Caenorhabditis elegans: one gene and its partners. The protein of the gene in region 1 purifies or fractionates together with the protein of each later gene. This does not show direct contact. Each region holds a gene or a part of one and is shown in the gene's direction. Other genes may lie near its edges.

Region 1 (6,984 bases):
TGGTACGCAAAACAATTCTGACGAAAAGAAATTTGGTGTCGGCTACAAATTTTGGAACATCTCCTATGGAGGAGACAAAAACTGATTTGAATTCATTTCTGGAAATGTTAGATTTACCTGAAGTCATGTTCAAGATTTCGAACTATATCTACATCTTTTTGGCAAAAAGCTTGTAACATTCAGGATTCTCAGGCCGCCTCCAATCCAAGTACAAACTGGAATCAACGTTGCTCAACTTGCCAGATCAGAGACGGCCTCGGAAAGCTGGGTATTTCAAGCTTTTTACTGAAAGTTTGATACACTTCGAAAGCTTTAACATGACTTTACGTAAACTTAACATTCCAAGAATTGAAATTAAACCGGGACGAGCTCTATACATATTTATGCATCATTGGAATTGTGCACTTCGCATTTTTGGCGATTGGTGATTTTGGTGATTCCAAAAGTCAAATTTTCAATCCATCTGTATTCATTTTTGTTTTATCTGCTATTTTGGTCATTACCAAATTATCCAAAACTATTTTGGGGTATTTTCTTTACTAAAATACTGATTCAGACATTTTAGTCGCGAGAAAAAGATTAGGATTTTATTTTTAATTTTACTTTTCGTGTTTTGTTCTGACATGTTTGTGACTGCCCTGACGAAAATTATAATTTTTTAATAATTATTTCCAAATATATTGCAGCCGTTCTTAATCCAATAACTCACTAGACAGCTCCCAGATAAAAACAATTTATTTTTATTTGCTCAAAGTAAATTTCATTTGGAAATATACTCAATAAGTGCTTGATGAGGAACCATTCCGTTGACCTCAACTTTTGATAAAAGATATTTAATCTCCTCTGGACTCATTTGCTCCCCAACGTGTGAAAGTATTGCGGCAAGCTCACGAGATGGCATTGCGCGAGTTTTATTTCTGAAAATTTCGTATTTATTTTGTAAAGCACATCAACTAACCTATCCAATCCACTTAACGCTTTGATAATCTCCGTCAGTGGATTCGGACTATTTTGTTCATCTTTGCAAATGTCCAAAAATGTTGCAAATTCGATTGGTTTTTCTGAAATAAATAGCAATCATTCAGAAGTGTAATGTTCTAAAACTCATACTATTAAGCTTCTTGAAATAAATATCAGTTTTGGAAGCAGTTGGAGAATATCCAAGACTTCGGAGAGCACATCGAAGTTGAGAATCTGTTCTTAGTACTCCACTGGTTGAATAAAAGTTGAAGCATTCACGAATTTCTGATGAGAAACAATAAAGTAAAGATTTCGGAGTCAAATCTTGGAATTATAGTGTTGTTTCACTTACCATCAATCTGCTTCTGCGAGAAAAATTCAGTCATTTCTTCTTTGTTTTAAAATGTTAATATATAAAATAGCCAAACCCGAGCAGCAAAATGTGAATTGAAATTCTGTGAAAAGAACTGTGTGAGAAAACGAGAGAGCGTAGGTAAATAAAAAGCGAATCGCGGAACGGTGTTTGACGGGTCAAAACAAAGGCGGAAAACAAGAAAAAACGAGAGATTTGGCAGGAATACAAGCTTTTTTCTCAACGAAAAATTATCCTCAACTTGGACCAAAACAAAAATCAATAAATGAGAAAATTGATGTTGTATGCAACACTGGTATTGATAACAATACGCAAATTTGGGTTATCTGCATCTTTTACATAGAGAAGAAGAAATAGCAAAGAAATTGTGAAGAAGAAGAGAAAAAGAAAGTCGCACGAGAACGGTTGCGATTGAAAAGAGAAAGTTTTGATGCGAGAAGGAAAGAAGACTTAGATTTTCGGCAACTCGGCAATTTTACAGAATATAATACACTGCGGGTACTGCTTATAAATAAAAAGTCACACGGAAAATAAACTTTATGGATTCAACAGTTAAGTTGGTTTTATAAATAATACTCGGAATACTCCAAACTTTTAATAAATACCGCAAAATCAAAACTTGAGGGGAAGAAAAATACAATTCAAGATTGTGCAATTTTTTCTCTTATTAATTCCATTTATCATGGGTTTTGTGCATTTTTTCTTTTTTTTTTTCTTCTATTCTTTTTCTTCTATTCAATTTTCTGGAATTTCATGTGCTCTCTTCCTCCTCCCGGCCTGCCTAAGCCTAAGCCTACGCCTATGCCCAAGCCTGAACTAAGCCCCACGAGAAAGTATTGAAAGTATTTCTTCGGATCCACCACATAAAGTCAAATCAAGAATATTATTAAAAGGGTCAATAATCAGAATTGAATGTCCTATTCATTTTTATCAATTGATACGTGCAACAGTTATCAATTATCATCTCTTGATATCTTTCAGTTGTTCTATGAAAATTCTTTCTTTCATTTTTTCTTTTTGCAGGCAGTTTTTCACAAAGAACCGTTCTAATAATGACATTTTTCTTTCTTTAATTTTTTAACTTGTTGTTCTTTTGCACTTCTGTCCTCAAACACGTTGCTCTTTTTCTCTTCTCCACACATTTATTGGTCACTCTCTCTAATTTTCCCAACGACAACTGTCTCAGAGCCAAATGAAAAAGTATTTGAATGGAAGATACGCAGACAGTCATAGACAGTTGTCTTTTTGGTGCATTTTTGTGTGTGTGTGTTGTGTAATATATCCAACTTGACCTTGAAACATTTGACACACCCTCCAGTTATTTTGTGTGCAATTGTGTTTCTTAAATGCCTATAAGTTCTAATGATTTCCTGTATTTAACTTGTATTCCACACGAAAGTAGATTTTTCCGTGAACTTTTCAAAATTTTCCACAAGTCATTATTTTTTGGATCCCTTTAATCGATTCATCAAATATTGAAAAAATTTCAGCTTAAACCATGCAACGAGTGCAGGCACTTCGTCCATTACTTCCAAAGGGACATGTGACCTATTACAAGGATCAACTCTTGATTACGAAAGGTGAAAAACAATTCCTTTTTGATTCGAATGGAAAGAAATATCTCGATTTCTTTGGTGGAATTGTCACAGTCTCAGTTGGACATTGTCATCCGTGAGTATTCTTTTTGTAAGCTTATGAGAATTTTATGCTTTCAGAAAAATCAACGCAGCTCTTACCGAGCAAGCACAGAAGCTTTGGCATACCACGTCCATTTATCACACTGAACCAATTTATGAGTATGCTGAGAAGTTGCTCTCAAAGTTCCCAAGCAAATTGAATGTTAGTTTTTATTTTTTACCCTTTTATCAAACCCTACAGTTTGCAGACTTGAAACTGTTAGGCCTTCCTATAGTGAATTACTAAATATCTAGTCGTTTCTTCACATCCAAATTTTCAGTCAGTCTTCTTTGTGAACTCTGGATCGGAAGCAAATGACCTGGCTTTAGCTCTTGCTCGTAACTACACAGGACGATTTGATGTTATCTCGATGAGAAATGGATATCATGGAATGACCCAAACTGTTCTTGGAGCAACTAATTTGGGAAACTGGAAACCAGTTTTTCCACATGGATTCAACATTTTTAAGTCATTGAATGCTGATCCATATCGTGGAATCTTTGGAGGAAGCAATTGTCGTGACTCTCCAATTCAAGTAAAGAACAGAAAATGCGATTGCAAGCCTGGATCCTGTCAAGCTTCTGATAAGTACATTGAACAGTTCGATGATATGCTTCTTCACGATTTCTCTCATTCATCCGGACCAGCTGCCTTCTTGATTGAATCTATTCAAGGAGTTGGAGGAACTGTTCAGTATCCACATGGGTAAAATCTCAAAAGAAAAGTGAAAAATGTGTATTTGATTTTTCCAGATATCTCAAAAAGTCTTACGAATCTGTACAAAAACGGGGAGGACTCGCTATTGCTGACGAAGTACAAACCGGTTTCGGACGCCTCGGCTCTCATTTTTGGGGATTCGAATGTGAGTTTTTAAAATAAATAATACTAAAACTAAGAAATCAATATTTTGAATTTTCAGCACAAGATGCCTTGCCAGACATGGTAACTATGGCAAAAGGAATCGGAAACGGATTCCCATTGGGAGCTGTTGTCACTAGTAAAGAAATTGCCGACTCTTTCAACAAATCTCTATACTTCAATACATATGGTGGAAATCCATTAGCTTCCGTTGTTGGAAAAGCTGTATTGGAAGTGATTGAAGAGGAGAAGCTTCAGGAAAACAGCGCTGTTGTTGGAGATTACTTCTTGAAACAACTTGCAGCAATTGATGATGCGACAATTGGAGATGTTAGAGGAAAAGTGAGAAAACTCTCTAAAAAGATTTTAATATACAATTTGATGATTTTTAGGGGTTAATGATCGGAGTGGAACTTATCGATGAGCAAGGGAAACCACTTGCCGCAGCCAAAACAGCAGCTATCTTCGAAGACACTAAGGTGTAATGCCATTTTACTTGTCTAACTATCAGATTAATTTACAGAACCAAGGCCTACTGATCGGAAAAGGAGGTATCCATGGAAACGTTCTCCGTATCAAACCACCAATGTGTATTACTAAAAAGGATGTCGATTTTGCTGTAGACATCATTGCCAAATCAATTAAACAATACAAATAATTTCATAGGCGCCGTCATTTCTTCATTTCGATATTACCAAATTCTTGTTTTTTGTTGTTGTTTCAAACTATAATTCAAATATTCAAAATTCTTTCGGGTTCTATGAAATTATTGTTCCAAAACGCTTCAATTTGTATTGTTCAGACCACTCCCTTTTTTAAGACGTACAGCTACAAATTCAGATCTGAACACGAAAATCCGTCAGTCAACTTGGTATTCTTCTTTTTTCGCATTTCTCTTTTGCTTCTTCCAAAACGCATCCAGTTACATGTATCGTTTATGTGTTATTGGTATACTATGGCATTATGTACGCGCTTCACTTCTCCGTCACAAGGTGCTGGTGGACGGACGATGTTTAAAAAAATGAAGCGACATGCATGTACTGCGGCTGCTGCTTCTGCTGTGGATTGAGATTAAGAAAAGCTTAAAACCGGTTCCGATCCGCATGTCCTTGGCGCGCGGCAAATGCGACATAGGTGTTATCTCATCGGATGGTTAGGCGACGCCAACCGCACAACTGATGATGTAATCGAAATGCGGAAAAAGGTGAAAGTGATAGCATGGCAAAAGTTTGCCGCCAGCAGGGGTCGAACCTGCGACCTTGGGCTTATTAGACCCACGCTCTAACCGACTGAGCTATGGCGGCATAAAATGCACTCTTCAAGCGTACGAATAAAACAGCAATAAGCACGTAGGTTGAATGCATTAATCTATAAGGTGTGTATATGGTTTGAATTGCTGTTTGAATGCGTATACGTTCGATTGAAAGTTCGACATGTTTCTCAGTTATTAATATAAAACAGTATTGAATCCTACAAGTTGCATCATATCACACCCTCTATAGAGGGTGTGATATTTTTTAGAGGCCTCTAGTTATTGTTTGTTAGCTTGCGACCGATATCGGATACGATTTTTACAACTTTTATGCAACACTGCAACACAACACCGGCAATCTAGATAAGACGGTGTTTTGCAGAAGCTGTCATCCTATCGAACCTTTAAAACCTGAAGGATCTATTCCTTATTACACCATTTGCCTATATGCGGAACAGAACATTTTCAGTTTTTTTTTTAATTGTTTCTCCTTGCTTTTTATTGATGAAAGTTCTTCCTCTTTCTCATGACTTACAGTACTTCTAGTTGCATCATTTTTGTTTCGTTTTTTCTAACTTTATAGCAATAGAAAACAAAAACCAGGTGGTCAACCTGCTGATTTTCATCACGCGCTCAGCTACCATCTTTCATTTTCAACCATTTTGTCTCGTAGGCACCGGGCTCCTGAACATGTGTTGGCCGCCATAGCTCAGTCGGTTAGAGCGTGGGTCTAATAAGCCCAAGGTCGCAGGTTCGACCCCTGCTGGCGGCAAACTCTTTTTTGCAGCTTCGTTTCAGCGTGAATCGCTTTGTAATAAAACAACCTGTTAGCTGGTCATTTTGGTCACTTAATCGTGTTCACTGGTTCATTGAGAAGAGAAATAGGAGATGAAAGGGAAAACATCGCTTCATTCATCGTTATGTCATTGTGAAAGGATACACAAAAATGGGCCGGCCCAAAAAAAAGGGTACTTATTGCGTTTGACTTCCTTAAGAATAGTCCTATTCCAAGTTTGACTACTGATTTAATTTTATTCTTTCTAGTAAATTTCTTGTAATTGTTTGAAGCGAGTTTAGATTTTATGTTATGAAGATATTCCGTTTTATAAACTTTTAAAAGCTAATTTTGTTTTTCGTAAACGTAGGCGCTCCTAGATTAGTTTAAAGATCAGTTATTACGATAAAAAAGTTCACATGGCATTTGTAGTGACCACGTGACGTACGTAGGTCGCCTTTAAGGCAACCATGCTATTGTTTCGTGCCTACCTTCAAATAAAATGTGAATAATACTAGTTCAGAACAATTTTAGTCCTGTGTGTTTATTTTCTTCTATTTTGAAGCACGATTTATCTGTGAATGTTGAATTTATGTACCACGTCTGATTATCGATGCTCATTTCCATAGAAGTTTAAAATAAATTAGATACAGGAATGCACATTCTTCTGAGTTTTCGTTAATCGAATATCTCGATTAAAACCTGCAGCAGTATCTAATATTTTTAATTGAACAAGTATTTCTCATCATCCTAGAAATTCTTCAAATGTTCATCTTTCCAATAGAACATACAAATCACACGACGAACGAACAATTCTTCGTCTTCAGTTTTTCTCAAATCAAATGGTGTGTATGTAACCAAACCAGACACCTTTCTCCTTTTCTTAGACACCATACAAAATGGAGAGTACCCGGAGAGAAACAAATGGGCGGACCTTCAATTGGTACCAATCGAAACTCGTTTTCTTCTAAGTGTATGTATGTGTGTCCTTTCTTCAGATGACACCACCTGTGGATGGTTCTTAATTTTCTATCTATTCCTTATTCTTCCAAGTGCTATCTATTCGTTTGCTGAAAATCGTCCGAAGAT
Region 2 (8,071 bases), on another chromosome or scaffold:
CAGACAACCAGAGTTGTGGGTGTCTAGGTTTTTTGTTAGTTTTAAAAAATTCATTTTTGAATCCTTTATTCAAAGTTCATAGTTCACTTCCAGAGGTGATCCAAATAAAGTGGCTGCTCTGAAGGCCGAATCAAATGAAATCGAAGGTGGAAATACAATAAAGATGGAGGTATGATTGATATCACGAAGACGTCTAAAGATTATAATTTTTGTCACATCTTATACGCAAAGATCTTATACCCCTTAATCTTATACCCCGAGAGCAGCAAATTACTGTAACGAGGCACCACAAAAATGAGAACTGCGAGAAGGAGAACTTCGAAAGGGAGAGCAGTAACTCGTTGTCTCAACCTTTGCGCGTAAGATATGGCCAAATCCTTATCTTAAGACGACTACGTATCAGCTGAGCAAGAAACGTATCTGAAAATTTCAGGATCATGTCCTGAAGAAGCTGAATGCCAACGGACCAGCTCCGCACATCCCAAACTTAAACTTATATGGAAAAAAGATGAATTTCTCCTATATGGTCATGACGTTATTGGGGAGAAATCTCCAAGACCTGGAATCAACGAATTTTGTTGTGAACAAAGGATTTTCACGTGGAACATGGAGCCGTGTTGGAATTCAATGGGTTTATGCATTGAAATATGTGCACTACAATGGATTCATCCATCGTAATGTGAATACACAAAACTTATTTTTGGGAAATGAGAAGGATAGTGAAAGAGCAAAAATCATTCACATCTTGGATTTTGGTCTTGGAAGACCTTTCGCTCGTTATGTAAGTTAAGCATTAAAACTTCATAGTATTTACAAATAATTTCAGCATGCCCGAGAGAATAAATGGATTGTACGTATAGCTCGTCATTCTGCAGAGTTTCGTGGGAGTTTTCGTTACGCGTCTCCGAATGTCCATCTCCGTAAAGAGCAAGGACGAGTTGACGATGTATGGTCACTGCCCTACGTCATCATTGAGCTCAACGGCGGAAAGGCACTCCCATGGCAAACCGATTATCGACGCGGACGTGTGGAGCAAATGAAGCTGAACTTGACGCCAAAGGATGTCATGTCTGATATGCCAGCTTGTATGGATAAATTGATGCCTCATTTGGCTTCCCTCAATTACTACCAAAGACCGGATGATCAGTGAGTTTTCTATATTTCCTATCCATTTATACGATTTAAATTTCAGCATGATCTTCAAGTGTTTCTGGCAAGTCATGGAGAACGAGAAGATCACTCCAAGTTCAAAGTTCGACTGGGAAAATGAGGAGCCTGATGTAAGAATTTCCTTTGAGTTCTCAGAATAATTCATTCTTCCAGATGTCTGTTCCACCTGCAGCTTGGGAGAATCCAGACGGACGCTACTTCCAATCCAATCCTCTTGAAATCAACGGCCCACCTACTCCAGCCGAAGTGGATTTTGTTCTTTAAAAGTGGGAAGAAGCTTGAAAACTAGAGATATATGAGATTTGAATAAAGGACTAGAAAATGATTTTGTTTTGCTAAATTAACAAAAACTATGAATCCTCAACTACAGTTGGCTCCTCCTAATAGTTCATCATCTTAGAGCTAATGAAGTTCTGGCGTCCAATATCTTTTGGCAGATTTCAAAAAAAAAAACGAACATAGATCTTTCGGATTCTAAGTTTAACTGGAAGAATTAACACATTTGTTCACTTCAAGATTCATCTGGTTTCATTGTTGACAACATGAACCTTCGAAATTGTTGGTTAAAGTTTAACATTAATTTTGTTTACAGCTCCAATAGTCTCTTATGGAAAACAAAATTTAATATTCTATCCTACAGTCCTTTCTTTTCAACTGTTATTTAACATTTATGAATCATGTTCCATTATGACCTAAGACATATTGTGGCCTATACAAATTGTGACCTATGACATATTATCATTACTTTCAAACAATAATCTTCAAGCGACCCGTGCTTCTCATGCTTGTGAAATGCTGAAATGCTTTTTTATTCAACTGTATGACATTTTTCAAACATGTGCAGAGAAACTTGAATGCTTTCATTTTCTCAAAAGATTCCCACGGCTGACGATTTTTTTCTTGAAGCCCGAAGCCTAATTGATATGATAAAAAAAACTTCAGATTTTCGTTACATTCGTCCTTTTTTTCTTGTTACTTCATTAAGCCAAGTGTTGACTTTGTAACTGCTTTCTCTGGAGTAGAGTTTCTAAAGGTTCGTAGTGTCTCGCCACCAAGCGCGCTCTGTTGAGCAAGGGCACCGCGCCAGTTTCGAAGTTTCTTTCTATTTTAAAAACATTTTTAGCTCTTTTTTTCGGATTTTCTCGCAGTTTGAGAATATTTTCCTGAATGTTTATCTTCCGTTTGAATTAAGATCGCGTTTCCTCTCAGAATTAAGTTATATCTGTCAATAAAAACAAATCTCAGCTGAAATGCTTGCACGTTTGTTTATTTTCTGCTGGTTTTAGGCAGGACTAACGATGAATCTTGTTGTTAACCACTCTGTTTATATTTGATAATTCTTAATTTTGTAGTTGATTTCTGCTGAAACTATTCCTGTCTCTGTCGTTCAATCTTTCCAAAGTTTTTCATTTATCATCATTTCCAAAGATCCCATCTCGACATGGAAATATTAAATGGTCAAGGGTTAAATCATGTTGTGCAATACTTGACTATTCTTCAGGACTCCAAAAAATTCTCATTATTTTGTGCTGGTTCTATTCGAGCACGTGCTTCTTCATCTTTTTGTTTTCGAAGATGTTTCGTTGAAGTATATTTGTGTGTGCAGTTCTCTGCATCTCCGCCTTTTTGACTCCTCCTCTGTCACTTTTCAACCATCGCTCAGTGTTCTCTTATCTATTTCGACCCTAACCATCGAGGCTGGCGTGTTTGTCCATTCTTTTCATATCTAATCTTTAGTTTTCTCTATTTTGTTTAGAGTTGAATTTTTGGAAGAAGATTAGTTAATCGATTTTGAATAATTTTGTCAGAAGTCTCTGCAATACTGATATTCACTTTTTGCCACAGTTTTTAGATATACTGATTCGATGTTTCCGAATTACCACTGGAACTAGTTTATTTTCTATTTAATTAAAATTTAAAATGTTCTATGAAGAAACGAGCTGCTGTGAACTCACAATATCTAACCTCATTCACCTGTAAATTTTTATTTTGCGTCCTCTTTCTAATTTCTTTAAAATCTTGCCTTATTCGGGTAAATCCTTTATAATTTTTATTTTCAGAATGCTCCGTTCAGCTCTCCGGGCAACAGTTCAGGCACGAAATGCCTCCGGTGTTCCACCAGGTCTTTCCAACATGAAACCACAATACACCGGCGTAAGTTTCTCAGAACGTTGTTTTAAAAAAATTGCAAAAAAGATAGGAATCACACAGGATAACCTTGAAAATGGAGACAATGTTGAGAGAGACTCTAATTTGAATTTTGAAAGAAAAAATTACGGAGCCCATTGGATCGCCAATTTCTAAAAACGTTGATTTTCAAGTAATTTGTGTTTAAAGAAAAAGAAAACAAAAGTGGAAATTGTGCATCGAATCTTATTGGTTTTTCTCAAAAATCCGTATTTTCCGCGAAATTCAAAGTTACAAGAACATCACATTACGTGCGCTTTGAAACCGCCGTTATCAGAAACTGCAACAGAAACCAAAAAGATGAATTTGAACCTTTTGATCTGTTTTTCTGCTGCAAAAATGTTCTCTTCTCATGTTTTCATTACATTATTTCAACGGAACCACGTGCCCTCAACGTTGTGCTCTGTTGTGTACCTAGTACACAGAGTACGATCAATTTAAAATGATGATAATAAAAAGAAAAAGAAGAGAGCTGATACTATCTCATAGGGAAAACGTGGTCGCCTGAGGTGGAGAACGAAATGAACAATGAACTCGGTCAACAGTGAGATAGGGCAATCAAAACTGAACGATGATCGGATTTGAGAAAATAAACTTAGAGGGCAGAATTAGGACGAAATGTGATACTTCTCCAAATCAGGGATTCAAATTTCAAAAAAGTTTATATCTAAATTTCCAGATCTTCATCAACAATGAATTTGTGCCAGCCAAGTCTGGAAAGACTTTTGAGACTATCAATCCAGCCAACGGAAAAGTTTTGGCTCAAGTCGCAGAAGGAGATAAAACAGATGTCAATATCGCTGTCAAGGTTTAAATCTAAATTCGAATTTTAAAGCAATCTTCAAACTTTTCTAGGCTGCTCAAAATGCATTCCGTATCGGCAGTGAGTGGAGACGAATGGATGCTTCTCAACGTGGAGTTCTTCTGAATAGACTAGCTGATTTAATGGAGAGAGATCGAGTTATTTTGGCATCTTTGGAATCTTTGGATAATGGAAAGCCATATGCAGTTGCTTACAATGCTGATCTGCCACTTTCTATCAAGACTCTTCGGTGAGTTCGAATAGCATAAATTGGAGAATTTTGCTGTAAAAAAATCCCAAAATAGTCTGTAATTAAGAAGAAAACTCAGAAAAAACGAAAAACTTTACTGCCAAATGAGCAAAGAGATCTACAAAAATAATTTCGAATTCTCAATTTTATGAGAGAAAAAAATCGAAAAACAAAAATTTTTGATTGTCCGGACAACCGTAAATCAAAAAAAACTGTTTAGAAAATTAACAGCCAAAAAATGCAATTTTTTGAATCAAATTTTGTTTGTATTGATGAGAAAAATTAAAATTTATTGTAAAAAAAGGAAAAATGGCTAACATTAAAAAATAACTTTATTACAGTTATTACGCCGGATGGGCTGACAAGAATCACGGAAAGACTATTCCAATCGAGGGTGACTACTTCACTTACACTCGTCACGAACCGGTGGGAGTCTGCGGACAGATTATTCCATGGAACTTCCCACTTCTTATGCAAGCTTGGAAACTTGGACCAGCGTTGGCTATGGGAAACACAGTCGTTATGAAGGTCGCCGAACAGACTCCACTTTCAGCCCTTCACGTGGCTGCTCTCACAAAAGAAGCTGGATTCCCAGATGGAGTGGTTAATATCATTCCAGGTCAGTTTTGTAAAAATTGTGAGTTTCTCAAATAAATAAATTCCAGGATACGGACATACTGCCGGACAAGCTATTTCGTCGCACATGGATGTTGACAAAGTCGCTTTTACTGGATCAACTGAAGTTGGAAGACTTGTTATGAAGGCTGCTGCAGAATCGAATGTCAAGAAGGTCACTTTGGAACTCGGAGGAAAATCACCAAACATCATTTTCGCTGACGCTGATCTCAATGATTCCGTTCATCAAGCCAACCACGGACTCTTCTTCAATCAAGGACAGTGCTGTTGTGCCGGATCCAGAACATTTGTCGAAGGAAAGATCTATGATGATTTCGTAGCTCGTTCCAAGGAATTGGCCGAGAAGGCTGTTATCGGAGATCCATTTGATTTGAAAACTACTCAAGGACCACAAGTTGACGGAAAGCAGGTTGAGACTATTTTAAAATATATCGCTGCTGGAAAGAAGGATGGAGCTCAATTGGTGACTGGAGGAGCCAAACACGGAGATCAAGGACACTTTGTGAAGCCAACTATCTTCGCTAATGTTAAGGATCAGATGACTATTGCTCAAGAAGAAATCTTTGGACCTGTTATGACTATCATTAGATTCGACACAATGGAAGAATTAGTTGAAAAGGCTAATAACACTATTTATGGATTGGCTGCTGGAGTTATGACTAAGGATATTGATAAGGCACTTCATATTGCCAACGCAACCAGAGCTGGATCTGTCTGGGTTAATTGTTACGATGTGTTCGATGCTGCTGCTCCATTCGGAGGATTCAAGCAGTCCGGTAAGCTAATTTATTATTAAAATTTCTCCATGCCAAAGTTAAAAAATACTTTTTCTTTTAGGAATCGGTCGCGAACTCGGAGAATATGGTCTTGAGGCATACACTGAAGTAAAGACTGTCACCATCAAGGTTCCACAGAAGAACTCATAAATTTCTTGAATTTTCGCTTTCCCTGTAATTTTTGTTCCTTTTGCTTTTTTTTTTGAAAAATGTTTATTGCTCTTAATATACGTGTTGTATTTATCTATTTTTCACATATATTGAAAAAGAATTCTGAAAGAAATAGACACCTACAGGACGACTCATAAAAGTCTCGACTTCTTTGTGAATTGATTGATTCAGGACAAACGAATTATTACTCTGTACATTAGAGGATCAGTCGTAAAATCTTCAAAAGGCAAAAATTTTACGAGCTTCCGGTAGGTTACGCGAAATTTTAAAAAAAATTTGGAACGCTTCACGAATTTGCGTGTCATCCTTGCGCAGGGGCCATGCTAATCTTCTCTGTATTGTTCCAATTTTAGTATATGTTCTCGGAAGAACGAGACAGCCAGGACCAGTTGTTGCTTATATAGTGGCCACCTGCAAGGCGGCAGACATCTCGTGGGTTCCGCAATTCTCCGTCAAGCAACTCAAAAAGGGCAAGAATCGAACCAAAACTTGATACTTATTTCCGTCAATAACTTTTTAGCCAATGAATCGATATTAATAATTTTTTATGTGTTCGTTCTACATGTCATGTTTTAACAGGTAACAAAGTTTCAGAAAATTTGAAGCATTTCTAACGGAGATAATAGGCAAATTAGACAGCATGTTGCAGCACAATTATTTCACACACCTTAAAGGCGCACGCCATTTCACCGGCTGGTCTCGCAGCGAAGACGGCCTCTCCGTTATTTTCTCTTGAGGAAACGTGCGTTTCTGTGGTTTTACTTCACAAACAGTGCTTTTATTGATTATTTTTGAGTTTCAAATGATTAAATTACAAATTATGAATTTTTTAACCACAATAGCATATAAACCGCAGCCGTAAATCGATATTGTTCGACTAGAAATTCCACTTTTTCGAATTCAAATCTGCAAGTGTTCAACCATGTCATTCAATCATTATTGTCGGGTTTAAATTTCTAAAATTCTTCATAGCAATTATTAGGTTTCTTAAGACGTAAGAAAAACCTCATTTGTTTTTATTTTGTGAGTTTGTTTTATTGCTTTTTCTGATTTAAAAATCACAATTTTGTACTTTTTCATCAAATCACCTGATTTTTCTCTTTTTTTCTCAATTTTCACGTAAACAAGTTTGTTCCCCCTCCTTCTCCCCCCGCGTTCCGTTTTTCTCACAAATCTCAACTTCATTTCAAATTTTAAAGGTATCCGACATGAACCGTCTCGCTCAACCAGCTACCCGCTCGGTCGTCAAGACCTTCCAACGCAAATCCTCAGGATCATTTTACGGATCCAACAATGTCGAAGGATTCAAAGAGTCATATGTCACTCCACTCAAGCAAGCTCACAGTAAGTGTTTTTTTTTAAAATAAATAGTTTCTATTTTGATGTTCAAAGATTAAAATATATTTTTCAGATGCTAGCGAGACCTGGAAGAAAATCTTCTTCATTGCTTCGATTCCATGCTTGGCTCTTACCATGTATGCCGCCTTCAAGGATCACAAAAAACACATGAGCCACGAACGCCCAGAGCACGTCGAGTACGCCTTCTTGAACGTTCGCAACAAGGTAAAATATTCGTTTTTATCTTGAAATCTGCCATAGTTTAAAATTTTACTTAAAAAATGTTATTTAGCTTTCATGTCTTCCTCATTAAAGAAGTTATCGGCAAACTGTTTAAAAATGTCATCTTTCTGGCATTTTTCAAACTAAAAAGGATGACTGTGAAGTTTAATAATATTCAAAACGAATTAAAAAAAAAACAGTCGCTTTTTTGGAATTTTAATTTCTACAATCAAGCTTTTAAATGATTATACAATTTTATAATTTGGCGTTTTCTCAGTAATTAAAAAAAACGATTGGTCTCAATAAATTCCCAAGATGGTTAAAAATTTCAAAAAAAGAGTAAGAAAAATTTTAGCTAAATCTCCAATTTAGCCAACATGTTCTAGTTGCAGCTGCTGGAATACAGTTTTATTGAATTATTGTTTTGGTCTATCAGACTAAAATTGACCTAAATCGACGGAATAACGTAAAATTAACAACCAAAACATGAAAAAAGGATGATAATAAAATAAATACTCA
Region 3 (7,233 bases), on another chromosome or scaffold:
ATATTAATTTTCTATAGAAATAAAGCTTCGCGCACATACACAACCGGAAACCAATCATAATAATATTAAAAGCAAGAAGCCTTTATTGCGCAAAATCAAAAAGGAACGTGCATGAAAAAATCAACAAATTCTCAAATGAAAAGCAATAAATTTTGATGAAAATTTAAGAAATTGGGGGATAATAAAGAAAAAGAAAACAGATCGATCTTTGTTGATTATCGCTCGAAGAAAGCTATAAAAACAAACGGTAAAGTTGGGCTTGTTGAACGGGATGGGGAATATTATCAAACACGGCAACAGATCATAGAAACGGACACACTGGGGGGAATAGAAAAACAATTTTAATATTTATTCTGGTTGTGGCTGCTTCAAGTTGGTCATACCAGCGCGCATCACTTCATCAACAAGCAAGAGATTGCATGCAAGTACTGTCGCCGACGAGATACTGTTCTTCTTCACCGTCACATTGTCCCAAATTCCTTGTGGCTCGACAGCTCCTCCGGTTTCGAGATCGAGTCCAACGGCGATATCTGGTCCAGCGGCGGTTTTCTCCTCAATAAGCTTAACAAGTGTTTCCTGAGCATCATATCCTCCATTTACGGCCAGTGTCTTTGGAATAACGAGAAGAGCTTGAGCAAACGCTTCAGCTCCGAGCTTGGCACGTCCCTTCAGGTTCTCAACATCTTTTTTCAACATCACGTAGGCAGCAATTTCGAAAGCAGCAGCTCCAGGGAGAACAGCCTCTGAAAATAGGTTACTAGAACAGAAGTTAATAAAATTTAAACTCACTGTCAACGATGGTGTTGAAAACAGCACGAAGTCCATCATGAATAGCATCCTTGATTTGAGTGATGGTATGCTTGTTTGGTCCCTTGATAAGAAGAGTCACAGATTTTGGAGCACGGCATTCCTCGATAAACGTGTATTTCTCTTCTCCAAGGGAATGCTCGTAAACGAGTCCAGCCCATCCAAGATCCTCTGGAGTCAAATCATCAACTGAGTTGACGGCTTCTCCTCCGACGGCCAGCTGAAGACGTTCCATGTTACGTCTCTTGGCACGACGAAGAGCAAGAATTCCTTCGGAAGCAAGCAAGTCAAGAGATGGAGGATCGATTCCTTTCTGGTTGATAACAACGAATCCCTTATTCTTACCATCTGGAGAATTATCAATAACCTTCTTCTTCAACTCAATAATCTTGTGAACACGACGAGTAATGAATTCACGTTCGGCAGCGAGAAGTGCCTCACGTTCCTTGGCGGTCTTGTAGAAAAGTCCCGAGTTGACTTCAGTCTTCTCGTATTCCAAAGAAACGTTGCAAGTGAGAATGTAAGCGTCTTTAACGTGTCTTGGCATATCTGGGTGACGAGCTCCATGATCGAGAACTAATCCACGAACAAGTGTGGTATCCATATCACTGTCGTGGTGCATTTCCATCTTTTCAACCATATGAAGATCTGGTTCCTCTCCATCACGACGGATTGCCAAAACGGCGTCGACAACGCATCTGAAATTAAGAAGATAATGTTTTTTACTACTTTTTAATTGTTTGTTTCTTACTCGGTGATGTGATCAGCAAGTTTCTGATGAAGTTTGGTACGAAGAGCAGTGCGGCACACCTCTACAAGGAGGTCACGCTCAACGGGAGCCTCTTTCTTGAACTTTTCAAGCAACTCGAGGGTTTTTGTGTTAGCCCACTCGAAGCCTTCAGTAACAATACGTGGATGAAGACCCTAAAATTTTAAATAAATGTTTAAAGTTAAACTTTGGAAATTGATCACCTCGAGAACTAGAGATTCGGCTTGTTTCAAGAGCTCTCCGATAAGGAGAACGGTGGATGTGGTTCCATCTCCAGTCACGTCGTCTTGTGCCGTCGAAGCCTTGGCAATCATTGAGGCTGTTGGATGTTGAATCGCCTGAAATTAAATAGTGCTAAACGCTGAATCTGAACAAAACGATCAAACCATTTCGTGAAGCAAGACATTTCCATCCTTCGTCAATTTGATATCCCCAGCTCCAGATACGAGCCTGAAAATGTGATTATAGTCTCAATTATACATTTGATCAGTTTATTCTCACATCTTGAGAGTTCCCTTTGGTCCGAGGTTCGATCTCATGACGTCTTGAAGTCCACGAGCTCCACTAATATTAAGCTCGAGAGCGGCAGCATGCCTAGCTAACTCAGCTTTCGGGTTCAGGCACTGGATTGACGACATACTACCTGAAAACAAGAATTCAACTATGAAATATCTCAGTAAAACCAACAAAAACTAAAAAACGGAGAAATGAGATTGGAAAACGATTCAAGAGGAAAATAGACACGCATAAAAAGGTTCGAGAGCATATTACAATTCAAAAAGGTTCTAAAATGTATTATTACATAACTTTTTAAATAAAAAATAAAGACTTTCAACAGAAATCCTTGAAAAACAATGATTCTCGTTTGAATTTATTCTAGAAAATAAATTCGCTTCTAAAGGCGCACACAATTTCGCAACTGGGTCTCACCACGCAGAGACATTCTACGCTTTTCGGGGAGGATTTACGCGGTGTTTCAAAATTAGGTTTTTCATTATTTACATTGTTCCGCAGTAAAAATGCCCCAATACACCCTTTTCGGGAATAAGACGATGCAAACGATGCGCGGCCGCTGCCAATGCAGCATCAGTTGCTGCAAAAGCAGCTAAGAAGGTAAGCGTTTTTATTTGAAAAAAATTACCGGGAATTCAAATTCTTTGCAAGTTTTTCCAAATTGGGATTTATTTGAAATTGCTCAAAAATGTAATGCATTTTGCTTAATACACTCTACAGTGAAAATAACATTTTAAAACATTTACAATTAAGTTGACACAATAATTCCATGTTGTTAGCTTTCCCGTAGTTAAAAATTGTGCGAGAGATTGAAATTTGTGCGAATATTCGCCTTTTCAACGAAACATATACAAACTAAGTGGATCTGTGTTTTTATTTGAATTTCTGGGAATTAATTTTATCCTGAAGTTATGTATAAGCCGAATAGCTCTTTTTGTGTCGAGCAAGCGACTGCAATTTTCCACAATTTCCATTTCACAAATTTTAGTGGTCACTGCATTGTGTTCTTCTTTATCATGGTTGTCTTCATATCATCATTGATTCGGAAACTAAATATATATCAACCGGCTGCACGCCTTCTTTGCCGCGAATACGCAGAATACTACTATTCCGCAGATCACGACTGAGAAAATGATATTTATGACAAGGGAATGAGTTAATATTAATAATCAAAGAATTATTATAATTATCACGAAGTGGTTTCATATTTTTAATAGTCACGTGACTCGTCATTTCTTCGTTTTTACCTCGGACTGGCATGCCGCATTTTTTTTTTCATGAGCTATGAGCGCATTTTTTGAAAAATGTTTCTGCAATCAGATATATAAAACGTTGCCTGCCATAAAAACACAACTTGTAACCGCTGTAAATCATTAGCCTTGTATCATGTTCCACGTCATAAAATTTACAGCATTCTATAGTCTTATAGATATTGATCTGCAATCTGTCCTTGAATTCCTTGATTAACAATCAATTTCATCTCAGTTTTCGTCGTCATAAACAATCTGCCCGTGTCTCGCTCCGCCCATACATTTCATTCAATCTCCTTCGAACATTTTTCAATTCATTCTTGTTTTTTGACCACTAACCTCTTCGTTTTCTAATACCTTCTGTTTCAAAGCGTCTAACAATAATATATTTTTGTTTCCAGATGAACCGATTGTTGAGCAGTGGAATGTCTGCAGCTACCTTGCAGACCAGAATGGCGTCGCAATTGCTGATCAACGATTCAAAGTACGGATTCCTGAAAGAGCTTGGTCTCACGGAGAACAACGCCGGAGTCTTTCATGGAAAATGGGCGGCGAGTGGACAAGTTGTTCAGTCATTTGCTCCAGCAAATAACTCCCCTATTGCTAATGTAAGTTTCAAAAACATACCCTAAACGTTTTAAAACTTTCAAATTCCAGGTACAAAATGGAAACGTACAAGACTATGAAATCGCCATCTCTGAAGCTAAAAAGGCTTATAACGATTGGTGCGAGGTACCAGCACCACGACGTGGAGAAATCGTCCGTCAAATCGGAGACAAGCTCCGTACGCAGTTGCAAAACCTGGGAAAGCTCGTGTCCCTCGAGATGGGAAAAATTTCTGCCGAAGGAGTTGGAGAAGTTCAAGAATACGTCGATATTTGCGACTACGCTACTGGACTCTCTAGATCACTTGAAGGAAAAATCTTTCCTTCTGAGCGTCCAGGACACGCTCTTCTCGAACAATGGAATCCACTTGGAGTTGTTGGTGTGATTTCGGCTTTCAATTTCCCATGTGCAGTGTATGGATGGAATAACGCTTTAGCTCTTGTCACAGGAAATTCTGTTGTCTGGAAGCCAGCTCCATCCACACCATTGACAGCTATTGCTGTGACCAAGTAAGCTCGCTTATTTCATAATTGTAATCACTAAATAACTATTTTCAGACTTGTCGAGGAGGTTCTTGTTGCCAATAATGTAAATCCAGCTCTCTGTTCCCTTGTCTGTGGAGAGGGTGATGTCGGTCAAGCTCTTGTGAAGGATAAGAGAGTCAATCTAGTTTCATTCACCGGTTCATCAGAAATTGGAAAGATCGTTGGACAACAAGTTCAGGCTCGTTTCGGAAAGCTTCTACTCGAGCTCGGTGGAAACAATGCTATCATTGTTAACGAGGATGCTGATTTGAACATGGTTGTACCGGCAACAGTTTTCGCCGCCGTTGGAACTGCTGGACAGAGATGTACAACCACGAGAAGACTCATTGTTCACGATAAGGTTTACGATCAAGTTCTCGAGAGATTGAAGAAAGCTTATGCTCAATTTGAATCAAGAATCGGATGTCCATTGGATTCCAACACAATTATTGGCCCACTTCACAACCAACAGGCCGTTGGAAAGTACAAGGCTTCAGTTGCCGAAGCAGTTGCTTCTGGAGGAAAGATTGAGTACGGTGGAAAAGTTCTTGAGAGGGATGGAAACTTTGTTCTCCCAACAATTGTCACTGGATTGAAGCACGATTCTCCAGTTGTTCTTCGCGAGACTTTTGCCCCAATTCTCTATGTTCTGAAGTTCTCAACCCTCGAGGAAGCTATTGCAATCAATAATGAAGTTGATCAAGGATTGAGTTCTTCTCTATTTACAACAAATATTCAAAATGTTTTCAAATGGATGGGGTGAGATTTTCTGAAATTGTGAATTTAAAACTAACATTTAATTTTCAGACCAAAAGGAAGTGACTGTGGAATCGTCAATGTCAACATTCCCACATCTGGCGCAGAGATCGGAGGAGCCTTCGGCGGAGAAAAGGAGACCGGTGGAGGTCGCGAATCAGGATCCGACTCCTGGAGGCAGTACATGAGACGATCCACCTGCACGATCAATTACAGCAAGGAACTTCCTTTGGCTCAGGGAATTAAATTCGAATAGCTTAGTTTAGATTTTCTGTAAATATTCATTTCTCATTCAATTTGAGATGTTTTTTTTTCATGCATAATTATTCTCAGTTCCGTTCTAAAATTGCGTGTAATTCAACTCTTGTCCTCTCCTTTTGTGATTTGAATTTTTGTGCCATATCATTCCAAATGCTTAGTTTTTTTTTTAATGTTTGTTCAATAAACTTCCTTTTTTATTCATTCCACAAAATAAAGTGCAACATATTTTCAGCATATATGTCATAAAATTGACGAGACTGGTGAAAAACCGTACGCATACTTGAAAACCGATAAGCTGATTGGTTTCATCACTTTAAGTCATTTCCTAAAACTATAAATTCAATTTCACGCAGATTCTTCTCCGAATCTTCCGCTTGTTTTCTGCCCCAACGCAAGTTTTACTTTTTTTAAATACAATTATTATAATGATGGCATTTTTGTATGTTTAGGTGATGCCTGTTTTATAAATTAAGAGTTTTTTCTAAAAATGTTTTTAAACAACTTTAAACTAATCCACTTAGAAAGTCTGTCAAATTGAATTTTATTGATTGTTTTGGAAACAAACAAACCTCACAATTACAAAAACGCTTTCATTGTAAATATTGACGAATTTATCTCGAATATATTTATTTTTCTCTTAAAATAACTATTTTTACAGCATAAAAAGTGCCCGAAAAATGGCAACTGAAGCTGTCTACGGAAGTTGGGATAGTCCGATCACACCAGATCTCTTCGGAAAATGTAATTGCAAGTCTATCTGCGAGATGCAAGTTGTCGGTGGCAATGTCTACTGGATTGAACAGAATTCAGTAACTGGAAAACGAGAGCTTTACTCAAAACCAACGAATGGAGATACTCGTACACGCTGGGCTGATGGTCAATCTGTTCAAACTGCAATTCACGAGTACGGAGGAGGTGCTCTACATGTTCTTGCTGATGGATCAGTGCTGTTTGCTACGATCGAAGGAGTTTTCTATCAAAAGTCGGCGGATTCCGGAGTTGAGCAATTGGCAGAAGGAAATAATCGAATGTTTAGGTCAGGGATAATTTAAATGGTGTATAACTTTCAAAAATAAATAAAAAACATTTTCAGATTCTCCGACTTCTCAGCCACTGACACCCATGTATTTTGTGTTAATGAAACCCACCAAGCTGATGCAAAATTTCCCGAAAATCGACTAATCTCCATCGACCGAGCAACCAAGAATCAAAACGTCATAGCTCACGGAGCCGACTTTTACGCCTATCCAAGAGTCTCCCCGGATGGAAAAAAGCTTGTCTGGATGCAATGGAGCCTTCCAAATATGCCATGGGACGAGACATCCATCCGAATGGCTGATCTCAAAGGTGGAGAATCCAGCAATGAGGTGACGCTGAAGGACGGAACTGGAAAACAAATCAACTATTCCGAACCAACTTGGGATGGTGATGAGCTTTTAACTGTGAATGATAGCACAAACTGGTGGAATGTGTATAAATCAGCTGCAGAGCCAAATTCCGTCGAGAAGAACCTGAATCCAATTCAACGAGAGATCAGCTACCCGCTTTGGCAGCTTGGTTTCAGAAATTATGTTCTGAATAAAAAATATTTGGTGAGAATTTTAGATTGGAAATTCAAAACATTCTTCAAATATTTTAAACCTAAGTTTACAATTTTCAATATAATTAGTTGAACTAAACACAAAAATTCGAATTTTTAAATTGACCTAATGAAATTTAAATATTTCAGGTAATGAACGCAGACGGA
Region 4 (7,478 bases), on another chromosome or scaffold:
TTTCAGGTTTGCCTGAAAGTTTGTTCATACATCCCTCTCCACCTCCGCCCTCTTCCTATTCATGACGAGAATAAAGTGTTTTGTTAGACACTACTACCACTTTAAAATTAGTATATTTATAAGAAAATAATCATAATAACAATGGAAAATAATGAGCTCTTAAGAAAATACGAGCAAAAAAACCGGAAACTTGATATGCTCCCACCCACGCCAAAAATCATGGGAAAGAATTGAAGACAAATAACAGGAAGTTTGGTGCAAAAATAATTGGGATATATTCTCCAAATCCGGGCGGCTCGTCTGAAAATCAAATGTGAAACATTTTTAATCAATGTAGTACGAAAATAAAGATTTTCAAAATGAACTTTTTTGGCAAATACTGAAATACTACCTTGTGTTAATACTACTTTTGCTTGAATACTACTATTGCTAGAATACTACCTTTGCTAGAATACTACCAAATTGCTAGAATACTACTATTGCTAGAATACTGCCATTGCTAAAATACTACTTTTGTTGCTTAAATACTACCTTTTCAGAAAATTTTATAATTTTATTCATTTTTTCATTGGAATTCTTATTAAGTACTATTTCTGGTCAGATATTTTGAATAAGAAATAATTAACACAGCATTTTTTATTGTAGAAGTGGCTTGATCGGTTTTATTTAGGGATCAAATTCGAGAGTATTCATTTGTAGTGAAATTGATTTAAATTCAGCTGTAGACCGTTCTCAAAAAGTAACTCCGCTTTTAGTTGTTAGCTATTTTTGATTGAAATGGTTGTAAAACAACAATAAACTAATTGCAGAATTCAAATATTTCTTCCCAGAGTGAGGTTGTAAATACCCACACTCGTTTATAGTTTTACGACTACATATCGTCTCCTTTTTGTTTTGATGACACACAATTATGGCTAACTGATTCAAACATATAGCTACTAAAGTATTTCACTTTCAAACACTATATCTACAAGCAAACATATTTGCTTATCAATATCAGCCATATTGGACACCTTAAAAACATATCCCATCTTCAAACTCTCACGATGGCTGAAGAAAAAAATTTTTTTTTTTAATTTTTCAATTTTTTTTAAAGTTTAGGTATTAATTTGCTTTGATGTGTCTAGATATTAAACAGCTATTTGATATTTTCATACATTCTTGTTGTCGCATGTTGATGATGCTCAATCTCAAAAAAGGCTAGGAAAAGTTATTTTTAAATTTGACCGTCGCTCACTTAAGAAACTTTAAAGTTAGAAGAAATAAAACATTACAAAATCAATAAACATGTTAAAAGCTACATTTCTTCAGTTAACCATTTTCATGTATCTCTTTTCGTTGCTGAGCTACGTTGTGTTTATGTACTCAGACGCTGTTAAAATTTCACTTCATATTATTCCAAACTCTAGCCTGTAGCTCAAATTTCAGTTGTCTAATAAAAATGCTGTCAACTGACAAAACATTTGTCGCACTATTTGGCACATTTGGTTTACTGCGAATAATGTCAAATGGTGTATTCTTGCAGACTTGCAGACATCTTGCAGACATGGGGGCCTGGAATACGAAAAGGGATCTAGATGTTATCTGCCAACTTTCAGAATGAACTGAAGCTTCTAGACCGCTTTTTTTGTGTATGAACTCTATAAAATTTTCAAAGAAAAAGCTATCCCATACGTTGAAAACAAAGTTGTTTTGTACTTTTCCGCTTCTTTATTTTTCCCACATTAATTTTGCACAAAATTCACTCTATAAGAAATTCATAAAAACAATAAACGTAAGGAGAATGCTATTCATTGATGATCCTGAATGGAATAGAATATCAAGCATCTTATCCAAAATTTTCTTAAAAGTTCAGAGCATAAGGTGTTCTACAAAAAATTTAAATGTTCCAATAGCCCCAAAAATAGCCGTTCGAGAAAAGTGATAGATAGACACTTTTCAGGATACTACAAAGTGGAAAATTGACGAGAAAATTTGGGAAACCGAGTTTAAATTGGTTCGAAATAGTCGTTTGGGTGAGCACTTCGGTGAGCAATAAAACAAATTGTTCACGAGAACCAAAATAGGATATTCTGAATATAAAGATCTCAGGATGTATACATTTCGGTAAGAAAAAGGATTTGGGGACTGTGAAAGTTAGGAAGGGATCCTAGGTGTTTCGATGTTTGAGCTGAACAATCACAAATTAACATTTCTGGTCAAAGACGAGTTTCCCGTGCGGTCTATACATTTTTTGTATTATTGAACAAAGGTATGTTTTCGGATGTTTTGCATGTAGGCAATTGCATAAATATTCGTTCAATATCCGAAAAATTCTGTAAATCTTGGTTCTTTATTATGCTTTCTAGTCCGTGTGACAGTACATATATCGTAACTTCACTAGATTTTTAAACTCCTTCTTAAGAAGTGTCCCAGCGCGCAAAAAAGTTTATGGTAGCTACCGTAAACTTTTTGCGCGCCAAGACCCATCTGAATAAATCCGTGCGCCTTTAAGAAGGAACGTCAAAATCTAGTGAAATCACGATACAAATTATATTTTCATTCCAATTGTCATTATTATTTTGAGTCAAAATTTAACTCTTCCGGGTTCCCGCAAAGTTCAAAAATCCAAAAATCAAACGCTTGACTACACTATTAGAGAGTGCATGAAATCGAGAGACACCGACATTCCATCGGGATATCGGAGTGTCGTTTGTTTGGAAACATTTTTTTTCGAAGCGATTTTTTGATTTTCGTGAACAATTTCTAGTTTTTGTAGGGTTTTCGAACTTTTTCTAGTTTTGTCAAAAGAAAAACTGATTCATTGATGTGTTATCAGTGATCTTAATTTGTTCTCTCATCTCCTCGTGATTCTATTTTTGAGAGAAATTTGAGAAAAATGTTTTGGAAGAACTGAAGGAGGTGGAGCACATAGAACATTGAAAAAGCATTCACATGTGAGGTTTCGATAGCTTTTCTTTTATCATTCACTGAGTTTTCTTTTTGATTTTTTCTCAATTCAATTGAAAAAATATTTTAATTGTTTCCATTTTTGCAGAAATGTCCTTGAAACTGGCCAAGCAACTATCTAAAAGTTCAGTTATTTCCCTCTCAAGGTTAGTGTTCTTCTACAAAAGTCGATAATTTTTTGAACTGTGATTTTCAGGCATTTCACAAATGGGCCTCGTCTACCAACAAAATTATTGCACGCAAAACCTGGATTCGTGCCAAAATATGTATCGGCAGATGAAGCCTTGGCGATGGTGAATTCAGGTTTGTATCCGAGAAATTAAAATTAAAAATCTCTAAAATTCAAATTATTTCAGATTCTGATATCTACGTTGGAAACCATGCGTCTGCTCCCAATGTTCTTCTCGAAGCACTTTGTCGTCGTGTTGATTCGGCAAATCTCAACAATATCCGAATGTCTCATCTAATTTTAAGCGGAAATTGCCCACAATTCGACCCTAAATATCACGGTGAGTCAATTTCAAGTATTTTAATTTTTAAATTTACTGCTTTCAGGAAAAATTCAAAACAACAGCCTGTTCATTTGCCCGGGAAATCGTAAAAATGTTAATTTGGGCGCCGCTGACTACACTCCGATTTTCCTCTCTGAAGTTCCCTCTTTATACACAAGTGGAACATTGAATGTTGATTTTGCACTGATTACTGTCTCTCCACCTGGTAAGAATTTAAATTTGATTAAAAGTCGCCATAAAAAAAAAAGCGAAAACAGGGTTTTGTGATTAACAACTTTATAAAAATTAAAAATTTGTTTTTTTTTCTATTTCAGATGAGCTCGGATTCTGTACACTTGGAGTCGACATTGACACAACACTGGCTGCAGCGACTAGTGCCAAAAAAATTATTGGTAAAAATAAATAATCAATAAGTTGCAAAAAAATATTTTTTCAGCCCTTGTCAACAGCACAATGCCCCGTACCCGAGGCCACACTACTGTCCATTCTTCTCATTTCGCTGCAATGGTTCAAACGGATCGACCAATCGCTTTCCGTCAGTCTGGTGGAGAAGAAATGTCTGAAACCGAACAAAGAATCGGAAAAATAATTGCCGAGAACCTTGTCGACAACGGAGCCACCCTTCAACTCGGCATCGGAGCAATTCCAGACTCGGCGTTGGCAGCGATGAAGCAGCACAAAGATCTTGGAGTTCACACGGAAATGTTTAGTGATGGAGTTATTGATTTGATTGATCGTGGAATTATTAATAATCAAAAGAAGGCTTTTATGCCAGGAAAAACTGTTTCCTCGTTTGCTTTTGGAACAAAGGAATTTTATAAGAAAATCGATAATAATCCAGAGTTTTGTAAGTTTTTATTTTACCAATTGTAAAAGTGATTTTAATTTTTTTAAAAATAACTTTAGAACTGTGCAAGGATACCACAGATATCCGTTTTTGCTGTTAAAATTAATTCAACGATTTTTTAAAATTTTTTAGATATTTTTTGTTGGTTTTATGAGCGAAACAGAAAAATCGGAAAAATACAAAAATTTTGTAAAAACGAAAAAAATTCCAAAATTCAAAAATGTCCCGATGAGGGAAAAACGAAATCTCGAAAATTTGGAAAATTCCGATTTTTCGAATTTTTTAAAAATGGAAAAATCGAAAAAAAAATGTTCAGAAAATTAACCATAAAATATGATTTTTATCTAATTTTGTTTTTTATTGATAATAAATAAATAAATAAATTGATTCTAAAAAGAAAAACAATGACCAAAATTTTAAGCTAATTTTTGAAAAATCGAATTTTATAATACAAATTTTTAAAAATTGAAAAACGAAAAGCCTTCGATTTTTCTTTTTAAAAACCGCCACCCTTGGTCCCAATTATGTGTTCATCAGAACCGTTACAGAGAAAATTGTTTTTTTAATCAGAAAAATTTTTAAAAAATTAATTTTCAATTTGGATCAAGAAATATATCAAAAAAAAATTGTAACTACAGAAACCCAAAAAAAAAAAAATTCGATTTTTTCCATCTTCCAACTAAAAACCCAATCATACTTTCAGATTTTGCCCCATGCGACTTCACCAATCATATCGACATCGTCCGCCGTAACAGTAAAATGACATCAATCAACTCAGCGATTGAAATCGATTTGACGGGACAAATCGTATCGGATTCGATTGGACGCAATTTTTTCAGTGGATTCGGTGGACAAGTCGACTTTATGGCTGCCAGTCCACACGGATTTGATGGACTTGGAAAGGCGATTATTGCATTACCATCGAGAACCACTAAGGGACAAACGAAAATTGTTCCATTCTTGACACAGGTTAGTTATAAACGGAAGCTATATTGAAGGTTAAAGTTCAATTTTCAGGGTTCTGGAGTGGTCACGACACGTGCACATGCCAGATACATCGTTACCGAGCATGGCATCGCCAATCTATGGGGAAAATCAATTCGTCAAAGAGCCTATGAGTTGATTCAAATCTCTCATCCGGATGATCGTGAAGCTCTCGAAAAGGCTGCATTTGATCGATTCAAAGTGATGCCATCTGCGTGAGAAGCGAATCAATTGCAGCTCCCTCAACTACTGGGTATAATGGTTACCGAGTGCCCGATTAAATCTAGTTTTCATTTCTTTGTATTATACGGTTCGACTTCTGATGTGTTTTCTTATTGCACATAGGTTAAATTATAAAAATGTTATTTTTGAAACTTCACACTACAATAATTTATTTGGAGGTTATCTGAACATTTTGAAGGAGAGTCGGGCGAGTGTGGAATCTACAATTATAAAACATGGATGTAATGAAAGCATACAGGAAAAGAATCATGAAGAAATATCAGAGGCAATTCTAAAGTTGACAAAAAAAAAGAGAGATGGAAGTGATCAAGTGGGAACAGTACACATGTGAAGATGGGGAGTGGTGGGACAAACACAATTAACCGATCACGATCACGTACAATTTTCAAATCACTTGTTCATCGATGTGGCTATCCGTGGTGGATGTTCGGATCGGAGCCCTGAAACCCAACACAATTTAAGAGGATTTTAGTGCTAATAGCATAGTAAGAATTACTCGACTACATAAAACGTTATAGTTAAAAACGGTATCTTACCGAATGTTGTGCATTTGGATAGGCTTGAATGATCAATGGTGGAGCAACTCCCGAAGATGGTGGAACTTGACTTGCTCTCTTGGACTCATGATCGATTCCACATTTAAACATATCGAAAAGCTCTTTCTGGGTTCCACCAATCGCCTCATAGGCAACTTTCCACAAATTGGAGGTTGAATTGTTCCGTCCCAATGCTAACTACATTGTCCAGCGAGCATTTTGATGAGGCCGGGGCATTCCAGTGAAGTCAGGAGACGAATTGTTTCCAGCCAAAAGGGGACGTTCTCTGAAGTGATAGGGTGAGATACCTTTGCTTGATCCAAGAAATCCTAAAATTACCTTTTTTCATAACTTTGTCTCCGTTCAAATGTCTCTAATCAAATATAAGGCCTACTATAGACTTACCAAATATCCAATTCTGGAACCATCCGCTTACAATCTCGCGGCAAATTCTACGAGATGCTTTCCAGTGTACGACGGATTAGTATCCATGAACATTTTCACAGCTTCTCGAGCACCGTCTGCACATTTTACATATTCCTCGTATATCGTGATGGCACGACAAACGTCTCTGAAAGGATTATATCATTTATTCGTACACTTTATTAACATTTATTGGTCTTTTGAATTAAAAAAGTTTTTATTATAAAGTTATTCACAATAGATTATCAAATTATTGCTTATCAACGGCAGCAACTACCGGCGCAGCGGCTTTGGCTCCGAATCGTTTTCCTCTGAAAAAATCATATTTTTGGGGAAAGGAGGTTGAAGCACTCCTACCGGAACACATTTTGAATTTTCTTTGCAGCGTCTTGAACTTGTGGATCTTCCAAGTTGATGTCGATTTCTTCCTGAAAAAATATATGTTAGCGGGCAAGCTAAAACTTTTTGAACTAGACTAACAAAAATATGTTTAGTTTATCTGGAATCTCACGTAGTTATGTGTTATGCTCATGAATTATAAATAGCAGTAGCGGAAATATTCAGAAAATTTCCAAGAAAACTTGATCAAACTGGAACATCAATAATTCTCATGATGTACTTAAATGTGTATGAATATTGTAGATGGAAAGTTGACGTTTGCAGCCAAATTCAATAATTGGAAAATGTTCGAATATCGTCTGCGAAAATCCGTGTGCGTCTTTATCAGTACGGTAGTTGTTAAATGTTCTTTAGTTTATTATCATTTTTATCCAAGGTAAAACATACAAGGATATTCAAAGAAAGAAGATCATAAAAATCAAAAAATTTCCAGAAAAAGTTGAGGTGTATTTAATAGGCGGTACTGTATTTTTCCAGTTCCCTTTCTCATTATAATTTCCAACTTCCCGGTGCAATTCGAAAATGTTTGAATAAGGTTCTTTTTTTCTGCATCTACTCCTCCATCTGCTTCCTTTTTTTCACTTC

The links.
Region 2: the proteins of T09B4.8 (region 1) and alh-1 fractionate together in Caenorhabditis elegans (co-fractionation; one large-scale study listed by BioGRID). This does not show direct contact.
Region 3: the proteins of T09B4.8 (region 1) and alh-9 fractionate together in Caenorhabditis elegans (co-fractionation; one large-scale study listed by BioGRID). This does not show direct contact.
Region 4: the proteins of T09B4.8 (region 1) and ZK1320.9 fractionate together in Caenorhabditis elegans (co-fractionation; one large-scale study listed by BioGRID). This does not show direct contact.

The regions. Positions count from the first base shown.
Region 1 is NC_003279.8:6,162,379-6,169,362, reverse strand, and holds T09B4.8 (Alanine--glyoxylate aminotransferase 2, mitochondrial), read left to right. Parts: upstream 1-2,823; 5' UTR 2,824-2,831; coding exon 2,832-3,004; intron 3,005-3,048; coding exon 3,049-3,172; intron 3,173-3,290; coding exon 3,291-3,715; intron 3,716-3,762; coding exon 3,763-3,872; intron 3,873-3,929; coding exon 3,930-4,210; intron 4,211-4,260; coding exon 4,261-4,347; intron 4,348-4,391; coding exon 4,392-4,526; 3' UTR 4,527-4,644; downstream 4,645-6,984. Other genes in the region: T09B4.4 (EF-hand domain-containing protein), read right to left, coding at 761-917, 959-1,061, 1,111-1,245, 1,313-1,346.
Region 2 is NC_003281.10:5,074,535-5,082,605, forward strand, and holds alh-1 (Aldehyde dehydrogenase domain-containing protein), read left to right. Parts: upstream 1-3,230; 5' UTR 3,231-3,231; coding exon 3,232-3,324; intron 3,325-4,036; coding exon 4,037-4,165; exon of another isoform or gene 4,166-4,212; coding exon 4,213-4,409; intron 4,410-4,750; coding exon 4,751-5,028; intron 5,029-5,074; coding exon 5,075-5,821; intron 5,822-5,882; coding exon 5,883-5,971; 3' UTR 5,972-6,127; downstream 6,128-8,071. Other genes in the region: Inactive tau-tubulin kinase ttbk-6, read left to right, coding at 164-169, 434-781, 827-1,146, 1,193-1,280, 1,324-1,434; cox-6A (Cytochrome c oxidase subunit 6A, mitochondrial), read left to right, coding at 7,201-7,336, 7,404-7,555.
Region 3 is NC_003281.10:5,853,469-5,860,701, forward strand, and holds alh-9 (Putative aldehyde dehydrogenase family 7 member A1 homolog), read left to right. Parts: upstream 1-3,740; coding exon 3,741-3,947; intron 3,948-3,996; coding exon 3,997-4,454; intron 4,455-4,502; coding exon 4,503-5,228; intron 5,229-5,276; coding exon 5,277-5,481; 3' UTR 5,482-5,711; downstream 5,712-7,233. Other genes in the region: cct-6 (T-complex protein 1 subunit zeta), read right to left, coding at 349-743, 790-1,505, 1,559-1,731, 1,780-1,914, 1,963-2,026, 2,078-2,214; dpf-4 (Peptidase S9 prolyl oligopeptidase catalytic domain-containing protein), read left to right, coding at 6,164-6,522, 6,580-7,078, 7,216-7,233.
Region 4 is NC_003280.10:9,682,273-9,689,750, reverse strand, and holds ZK1320.9 (Acetyl-CoA hydrolase), read left to right. Parts: upstream 1-3,037; 5' UTR 3,038-3,039; coding exon 3,040-3,095; intron 3,096-3,145; coding exon 3,146-3,252; intron 3,253-3,305; coding exon 3,306-3,458; intron 3,459-3,504; coding exon 3,505-3,666; intron 3,667-3,775; coding exon 3,776-3,853; intron 3,854-3,897; coding exon 3,898-4,308; intron 4,309-5,011; coding exon 5,012-5,277; intron 5,278-5,325; coding exon 5,326-5,511; 3' UTR 5,512-5,663; downstream 5,664-7,478. Other genes in the region: ZK1320.13 (Purkinje cell protein 4-like protein 1), read right to left, coding at 6,745-6,805, 6,852-6,922.